Caenorhabditis elegans: one gene and its partner. The protein of the gene in region 1 interacts with the protein of each later gene in a pairwise test. Each region holds a gene or a part of one and is shown on either strand. Other genes may lie near its edges.

Region 1 (4,921 bases):
TATAGAATATTTCACAACATGTTGCAACAGCGAGTACTTCGAAACTAAGTACATCTAGTATAGAGTACTGTAGTTTCCGTGACCGCTTCTTCCAAGAATTAAATAAACTATTTAACTCACACTAAACAGTCGTCTGCACATTTACCAAATCCTTTTCGTCAACAATCCGGAATCCGTCGCCCCTCCTGCATAACTTCTCACGGAGACATCGTTTGAATTGTTGTTAATTTGTCAGTCTCGAAATGCTAAAGTTTCAGCTATTAAAATGCTCGGAAATATATATATACCAGCCGTGGACCGCACCTACGGCGCGGCCCCCGACTTTTTTGAGAAAACACATTAGATATACGGTGTCTATCGCGGACCTCGATCGATGTCTGCTGCGCATTTAGCATAAGGTTTCCCAAAATTTCGTTGCTCTGATCAGAGATCAAACTACATAGGGACAGAAGGACACGCGCTTTATATATAGTAAATGATGATATATATATATATTTTTTTTAATTTATTTAAATATCTTGAAATTTACCTTTAAAGCATCAAAAACGGGCTCTCCTCCGGGCAGCGGGGCAAAAAGAAATAACTTTTAATTGATCGGCTTTCGAAATTTGATTGCCACGTGCACTGGGTTCACGTGAACACGTTTTTAATTAAAACAAAACTTTATCAAAACTTCAAGGTGTGCCTTTCAACTGAAGTTATTTACCAACTGTTACGTCTGTTCAACATGTCTCAACATTCTACACTTTGTATTTCAAAATTAAAACGGTTGAAGGCATTTCTTTATCAAAACTGAAAACAGAAAAAAACGGGATAGGATGCAAACGGAAAAGCAGCAAAACATTTACGGGTATTAAACACACATGATGGGCAATTAAAACTTGACATCATCTTAAGAGACCTTATTGGGATGAAGCAAAACCATAAAGTAACAATTTTCGTCAGGCGGTAGAGCAGGAAGTATTATGAACTGTCTTTGTCAATCGTAGGTATTGATTAGCGGACAGCCATGACCTGTAACAGAAGGTTGTAGAAAAGAAATAAGTTGTGAATAAACTTACAATGTCATCAATCTTGAGAATTGATCGAACACATTCCGATGCTTGCTTGATAGCTGATGCTGTAACAAGAAGTGGCTGCACAACATCTTCTTCAACCATATCTGTGACATATCCCTTGCGTACGTTTACTCCATAGGAACTGTTTCCATTAGCATGGTTGTTTCTCAACTCCGTAACAGTGTGAATTGGTGACAATCCTGCGTTTTCGGCAAGTGTGTATGGAATCTGTATAACGTAACCATCATTGGTTTTAATTACTTTCAATGTAACTTACGAGCTCAAGTGCATCAGCAAATGCTCTCCAGCAGTATTGCGTAGCTCCGTGTTGGGTTTGTGCCAGATTTCGGAGTTTTACAGCGATTTCCATCTCTGGAGCTCCACCTCCTGGCAACAAAGCCTTCTTCTTAACCAGGCATCGAATCACACAAAGAGCATCGTGGATAGATCTGTCAGCCTCCTCAAGCACCAACTTGTTTGATCCACGAAGAAGAATAGAGACAGCATGTCCTGGATTTTGAACACCAGTCACCTTGATGACCTTTCCATCTCCTCCAGTTGGAATCTCTTCCACAAGATCAGCATATCCGAGTGCATCAGCATTAAAATGATCGACAGAGGCAACTGGTCGGCAACCGAGAATTCTTGAATAAAACTCGATATCCTCTCTTTCAATATCTTTGATGCACATGATCTTCATTTTGGCGAGGAAATGCAAGGCGAGTTCGTTGACAGCATCTCTAAGAATACTCTTTTGAATCAGAAGAACATTACAACCAGCAGCTTTAATCTGCTTGCAAATTTCTAGCAAGTATTGACGTTCTTCCTTCAAAGCACGATCCATTTGAGCATAATCAGTGATAATAACTTGATTTTCCATCTGAAATTTGAATGCGAATTTAAAAAATTAATTTCTTCAATCAACTCACGTCAGTTTTTGGGGGGCTAATCTGGAATTGAATGAGTCCAATCTTGGCTTTCTCAATTCTTGTTGGAGCACCACGTCCCATGGTTTTCTGATCAATGAGAGCTCCTTCGATGAGTTCGGATTCTTCAACCGTGTCTCCCATTTTCTTGATGATCTTGATCATTTTCAGGTTGACATTGGAATCGTTCTCTGAATTGATGATCTTCTTGACAGCATTAACTGCCATAGGTGCGAGCAACCATGAGTGTTGAGAAACAACCTTCGAGTTCAACGATGTTGTAGCCATCTTGTTGAGCAGAGCGTCATTTGACAAATCGACTGGTGAACTCATTTCGTCAAGAATCTTTTCAGCTTCGGCAGCAGCACTTTGGAAAGATTCAGAAATGGTAGTTGGATGAATACCTTTAGAAAGCAGGTTCTGAGCAGCATCAAGAAGAGCTCCAGCCATAACAACGACAGTAGTTGTTCCATCTCCAGCTTCGATATCTTGAGCTTTTGAAAGTTCGACGAGCATCTTAGCAGTTGGATGAATGACACTCATTTGGTTCAAGATGGTAGCCCCGTCATTGGTGATGGTAACATCCCCATTCCCGGACTGAATCATTTTGTCCATTCCTCTTGGACCCAAGGATGTACGGACGGCATCAGCAACAGCTTTTGCAGCAACGATGTTACTGAAAATGAACTAGTGATTTAAAAACAAAAAGGAACAAAGCTCACCTATTGCGAACACTCTCTGGCTTGTCCTTATCCTTGAAATTGCGCTCGCGACCGGAAGCCGATTGTCGGGCTGTTGCAGCTGCGGCTGGAACTGCTGGTGGCATCTGCAAATTAAATTATGATGTTGAAGTCAGACTCTCAGAAGAAATGAATAAAACAACTTTACGGATAGAGGGAATAATATTTTAAAACTTAATTCTAATGTTATTTTCGAACTTTTATTACATTAATTTTGATGAAAATATAGAAACAAATAATAATTCTTCTAGAAATTCTATAGCTTTTAAATTTAACGTTCAGTTTTCAAGCGGGAGCCAGAAAGATCTGTGGAAATACTGGTTTCGTGGCGAGACCCACTTGAGTTCACCAACGTGCCTCCCTTTAATTTATACTCGCATTCTTTTTATTTTCTGGCCTTGCTTGTCGATTTTCTTTCACATGTTATGTTTTGCTTTCGAAAAACGTTTTAAATAAATAATATAAACATTTAATTATATAAAATATATTACGATTTCTTGTTTCTCTTCCTCTTTCTTGTCGAAAAATCAATTTGTCTTTTTAAGAAACCAACAGTCAGCAGAGAATGGCGAAATACTGTCTGAGTAAGTTGATATACATTTGTAACAATATTATAAAATACCTCTTTTACAGAAAAAACCAGTAAGCGAGTCAGCTGCGCCAAGCGCTACAAAATTGAGAAGAAAGTTCGCGACCATAACAGAAAAGTGAAGAAGGAGGCTAAAAAGAATGGTAAGTAAAGTTTTAAAGAATGCAAATAAGGCTATTGAAATAATGGGAAAATTTTTTATTACAGGAACCACTAATAAAAAAGAAAAGACTATCAGTGTTCCGAATTCATGTCCTTTCAAAGAAGAAATTCTGGTCCAAGCAGAGCAGGAGCGCGAGAAGATAAAAGTTCGTCAGGAAGCTGCTAAAGAAGCTGCAAAAATTCATCGCATCGAAAAGAGAAAAAATAATTTGCCAGCCAATTTTGAAAGTATGGTCGCAAAAGCATCGAAACAAGGAACCGAATTTGATAAGAAAGTTGCCAGTGCTGCAGAACATGAGAAGTTCAACACCTTGGATGACAAAACAATCAAGGCTTATGCCAGTGAAGTTAGGAAGACTGTCGAGATTGCTGATGTTATTATCCAAGTACTTGACGCCAGAGATCCGCTCGGCAGTCGTAGCAAGTCTGTAGAGGATCAGGTCTTAAAAGGTGGAAAGCGATTGGTTCTTCTTCTTAACAAAATCGATTTGGTGCCCCGTGAGAACGTTCAGAAGTGGCTCGAGTATCTTCGCGGTCAATTCCCGACAATTGCTTTCAAGGCTTCAACACAAGAGCAAAAGTCGAATATTGGCCGTTTCAACAGCGCTATTTTGAACAACACTGAGACCTCGAAATGCGTCGGTGCCGACATTGTGATGAAAATTCTTGCTAATTACTGTAGAAACAAAGACATTAAAACTAGCATTCGCGTCGGAGTTGTTGGCTTCCCAAATGTCGGTAAAAGCAGTGTGATCAACAGTTTGAAGAGAAGAAAGGCATGCAACGTAGGAAATCTGCCAGGAATCACCAAGTAAGTTAAATTCAGTTGTTTTTCTAAGCTTATCAAATTTATTTTCAGAGAAATTCAAGAAGTTGAGTTGGACAAAAATATCCGTCTTATTGATTCCCCGGGAGTCATTCTCGTCAGTCAAAAGGATTTGGATCCAATTGAGGTTGCTCTTAAAAATGCTATTCGCGTCGACAATTTGCTTGATCCAATTGCTCCAGTTCACGCAATCCTTCGTCGTTGCAGCAAGGAAACTGTAAGTTTAAAACAATAATAATCGTCAAAAGCCTTGATTAAATTTTTTGAATTATTCAAACTGGTCTCTTTTCAGATTATGCTTCATTACAATCTTGCCGACTTTAACTCAGTTGACCAATTCTTGGCTCAACTTGCACGTCGTATCGGAAAACTTCGTCGTGGAGCTCGTCCAGATGTGAATGCTGCTGCCAAACGTGTATTGAACGACTGGAATACAGGAAAGCTCAGATATTACACTCATCCACCAGAGCAGGGAACTGCAAAGGAAGATATTGTTGTTCCTGCTGAAGTTGTCTCACAATTCAGCAAAGAATTTGATATTGACGCGATTGCTGAGGAGCAAAACCAGATCGTTGAAGGCCTTCCAATGGAAAGTGACATTATTGCACCACACAATTCCG
Region 2 (3,927 bases), on another chromosome or scaffold:
GCCAAAAAGTGCTTCTCCTTGCAGTTCAGGTACTTGAATTCTGTAAAAATAGCGTTTTTGTAGAACCTCGCTATTAATTTTTTTGTATTGTTTGGTCTTGGCACGACAATAACTTTTCAGCTACCGTAACCAGTCGTTTAATTTTTTTTCAGTTTTTTCCTGGTTTTTCTCGTGTTTTAATGGCTTTTATACCCAAATGCGAATGAATTGCCTAAAAAATACGGTGCCGAATGCACATGGGAATGCGCCTTTAAAGAGTACTGTAATTTCTAGTTTTTGCGGATATATTATCGATTTTTTTAACTTATGGTTTTTTTAAACAGTAAACACATTTTTATCCAAAGTCTGAAAAATCGACAAAAATTCAGGAGCAATCAAAGTTTGAAACTACAGTATTCTTTAAAGGTACACACCTTTGCAAAGTACTGGAGTGGTTACTGTAGTTCAAAAGTCTTACTCGTGTCAGGACCCAAAGCTTGAAAATTAGCTTAAAGACATAATTATTAATTTTTTACTCGTTATTTTCGATATGACCTAAATTTTGAAAACTCTGGGATGTAATCGTGGCGAGACCCACTTTTTGGCCACATATTTCTCCGCGGATTTCCTAGCCATTTTTGCTTTTCGGAACAACAAATTCGGCTTGATCTCCGCAAAATTTCGGGCGGTCCGATGCATTTTTCTGAATTTTTCTAGATTATTGATTGCTAATTGTCCTTAAAATCGATATTCAAACTTTGCATTTTACTACTACGTTTTTCAAAAATTAATTTAAATGGAAAAAGCGTTTATTTATTTTGAAAATGTTTCAAATTATACCAACAAGCAATAATTGAACCACAAAATTCGAAAACAAAAAGAGCAACATGAGATTCAAATACGGAGAGCCTTGAGAGTTTCGGCAGATTTTTGAATGACGGAAAGAAAATCCATGACACGAGCGACTTCTTCCGTTGAATTGAGCCGATCGGTGGCCCATTCGAGCTTCTGAAGGACTGCAGTGGTGGCTGATTCAATTGTATCAGACGATGATGGCTCAGCAGCAGCCGGAACAGCTTCCTTCTTTTTCGCTGGAGCAGATTTCTGGAGCACTGCTTTTTTCGCTGGTTTATTCACTGGAGCCGCTGGGGTTGGGATCTTGTTGTTCACAGCTTCATTCAGGTCTTCGTCTTCTGAAAATTTATAGGTCTATAGATTTCTGGGTCTCGCCACGAAATGTAAGACATTTTTCAGAAGATCTTTAGAAATTCAAATAAAAAAATTTAAATTTAATTTTTAGTAATTTTTTGCGACAAAATCCCTTACGCAATGAAACCTCGCCGACAATAACCGACGATTTTTCTCTGAAAAGTTCACAGGTGACGCAACGACGCACGAGAGCTCGGTCCTCCATGAGAATTCCCTGAAAAAAAAAAATTTGAACTGAAATAATCAGTCAGTGGCCACGTATTACCGGAGCACAAAATTCTGAGAATACGTATTGCACAACATATTTGACGCGCAAAATATCTCGTAGCGAAAACTACAGTAATTCTTTAGAAGGACCACTGTAGCGCTTGTGTCGATTTACGGGATCTTGATTTGCAAAAATTGAGCCCGTAAATCGACAAAAGCGCTACAGTAGTCAATTAATGAATTACTGTAGTTTTCGCTACGAGATATTTTATATTTTGCGTGTCAAATGATTTGCCCAATACGCATTCTCAGAATTTAGTGTTTACCGTAATATTAGTCTTCATCTTACACTGCAAGTCGGGCAGTACTCATCCAACATCGTCTGTCCCTTTAACAAAAGTTCGCCCATTCGCTTCGAGACCTCATCTCGAAAGCTATCTCGGAGACGAATTGACGCAGCGTCATCATCACGAATTCCGTTGATTGGTGCCATTTCGTCGAGATAATTGCGTGCCGCGGGATGTGGGGTTCTGTCAATCCACGTGGATTCTCGTGTCGACGTCAGATTCACAAACTTCTTGTGGACCATAAACTGAGCAACGGAAAAGCTGGAAAAAAAAAGATTTTTTCGATTTTTTTTCGATTTTTCTGGTTCGAAAATTCGAAATTCTGAAAAAAAAAAGAGTATTTCGCCGATCGATAAACGGAAAATTCAAAATGTTTCTAAAAAATTTAAACGAAAAATTGAATTTTATTCGGATTTTTAACCAAGAGAAGGAAAAAATAACAAAAATGTACACACAGAAACAGAAAAATTGAGCAAAACGCAACGTAGAGGAGGAAATTCAGAGAGAAAGTACGAAAAATTGAAAGTGGAGGGAAAATGAAGTGAGTAGGGCCATTTGCACCTTTAAATTTGAATTTTAGGGCGAAAAATGCCAACAATTGGGAGGGGCTTTCTCGGGAAAAAAAAATGGCATTATTTCTTTTTTTTTAAAGCAATTTAAAGGCACATGGCAGGTTTGAGTGATGAATATAGCACAATTTTGAACATTTTTTATACACATTTCCACATTTCTACTCGACTGGCGTACGGAAGAACGATGAATCGTTGGCGACCTCGATCAATTCGTCGTAAGACCCAAAATGACTCGTGAAATTTCCAGTGTTGTCCTTGTAGAATTCGTGTCTCCAGTACGTGGCGTCTGCGCAGATTGCGATGATACTTTGCAGATTTTTCGGCGTTTCTGGAACTTTTTTTTCTTGAAAATTGGGCATATGTATAAATATTCAAATAATTTTAAATTTATATTATGAAATTAATAGTCGTACGGCTACGCTTTCAGATAATTTGTTTCGATGTTTAGAAAAAAAATTTCGCTTGGAAAATTTTCAAAAATATTGAAAAATTATTTTTTGAGGGCAATTTCATTTTTTTCGAAATTTCTAAAAATAAAATCGGGAACATTTTGAATTTTTAACAGAATAATTTCTCATTCGTCTACAAAATGGACATGATTTAAAAAAATTAATATCAGATCTCTAAGCCGAATATTTTCGAATTTATTTTGGAAATTATCTAGTTTTTAATAATTTTTTTCGATTTAAAAAAAATAAAAAACTAGTTTTCAAATTTTTTCAGAAAATTCGGAAAGGTATGTTTTTTGGTTTTTTTTTCGATTTTTTTCCATATCAAATTTTTAATAATTTCCAGTAATTTCTTTAAGTTTTTCTCATAAAAATCAACATGTTTTTGATAAATCCATAGTTTCCTCGCCTTTTTAAAAATTATTTTTACTAATTTTTTTCGATTTTAAGAAAAAACTTAATTTTTTTTTTTGAAAAATATCAAAATTTCAATAATTTCCGGTCATTTTTTAATAGTTTAAAGGCAATTTTCTTTTATTTTTCGGAAAAATAACATATTTTTTGATAAAACCATAGTTTTCTGATTTTTTTTCGTTTTTTTTTAAAGAAAAAATCGACAAATCGAATATTATTGATTTTTGATTTTCTCCTATAAAAAAACCGAGATATCTAAAATTTTTTATGTTTTTTTTTCAATTTTTTGGAAAAAAAACAGTACATTTTTTTAAAAGATTTTCTCCAAAAATCCAAATTAGGAGTGTTCTTATCCAAAATTTTTCAAAAATATTTCAAATCTAACTTTTTCCGAATCCAATAGCCATGACAGGCCTATCCAGCTGAATTTTCACAATACTTGAGCTTCCACGGCTCCTTTCGAGCACATTTTTCTTTTTTTGTGGCTCAGCATCTCGAATTCCAAACATATGCAGAGTTCCCTTATCACTAGCCACTGCCAAATAACTCGAGCACGGTGAAAAAGCCATACACTGAAGGTGAGCCTGAACAGTTCCACGACGAAGTTCATAAAGTGGTCCCTTGGTTCTGGCGTCGAAAACTCGAATTACAGTACCCTTAGTAGATCCTGTGGCGACAAGGGTTCCCTGACAATTCAACGCGACTTGGGCAATATCTGTGAGGTGTGCTTCAATGACAATCGGGGATTTC

What was found.
Region 2: the proteins of cct-4 (region 1) and Y39A1A.3 interact in a two-hybrid assay, tested with the Caenorhabditis elegans proteins (one large-scale study listed by BioGRID).

What each region holds. Positions count from the first base shown.
Region 1 is NC_003280.10:8,281,557-8,286,477, reverse strand, and holds cct-4 (T-complex protein 1 subunit delta), read right to left. Parts: upstream 2,812-4,921; 5' UTR 2,811-2,811; coding exon 2,707-2,810; intron 2,661-2,706; coding exon 1,988-2,660; intron 1,939-1,987; coding exon 1,336-1,938; intron 1,287-1,335; coding exon 1,062-1,286; intron 1,015-1,061; coding exon 997-1,014; 3' UTR 767-996; downstream 1-766. Other genes in the region: nst-1 (Guanine nucleotide-binding protein-like 3 homolog), read left to right, coding at 3,290-3,308, 3,358-3,456, 3,521-4,286, 4,335-4,518, 4,594-4,921. UniProt on the Caenorhabditis elegans protein: Molecular chaperone; assists the folding of proteins upon ATP hydrolysis. Known to play a role, in vitro, in the folding of actin and tubulin.
Region 2 is NC_003281.10:10,594,485-10,598,411, forward strand, and holds Y39A1A.3 (Sjogren's syndrome/scleroderma autoantigen 1 (Autoantigen p27)), read right to left. Parts: upstream 2,004-3,927; 5' UTR 1,985-2,003; coding exon 1,745-1,984; intron 1,403-1,744; coding exon 1,306-1,402; intron 1,173-1,305; coding exon 874-1,172; 3' UTR 774-873; downstream 1-773. Other genes in the region: Y45F3A.9 (rRNA methyltransferase 1, mitochondrial), read right to left, coding at 1-40, 578-678; epg-6 (Ectopic P granules protein 6), read right to left, coding at 2,473-2,648, 3,563-3,927.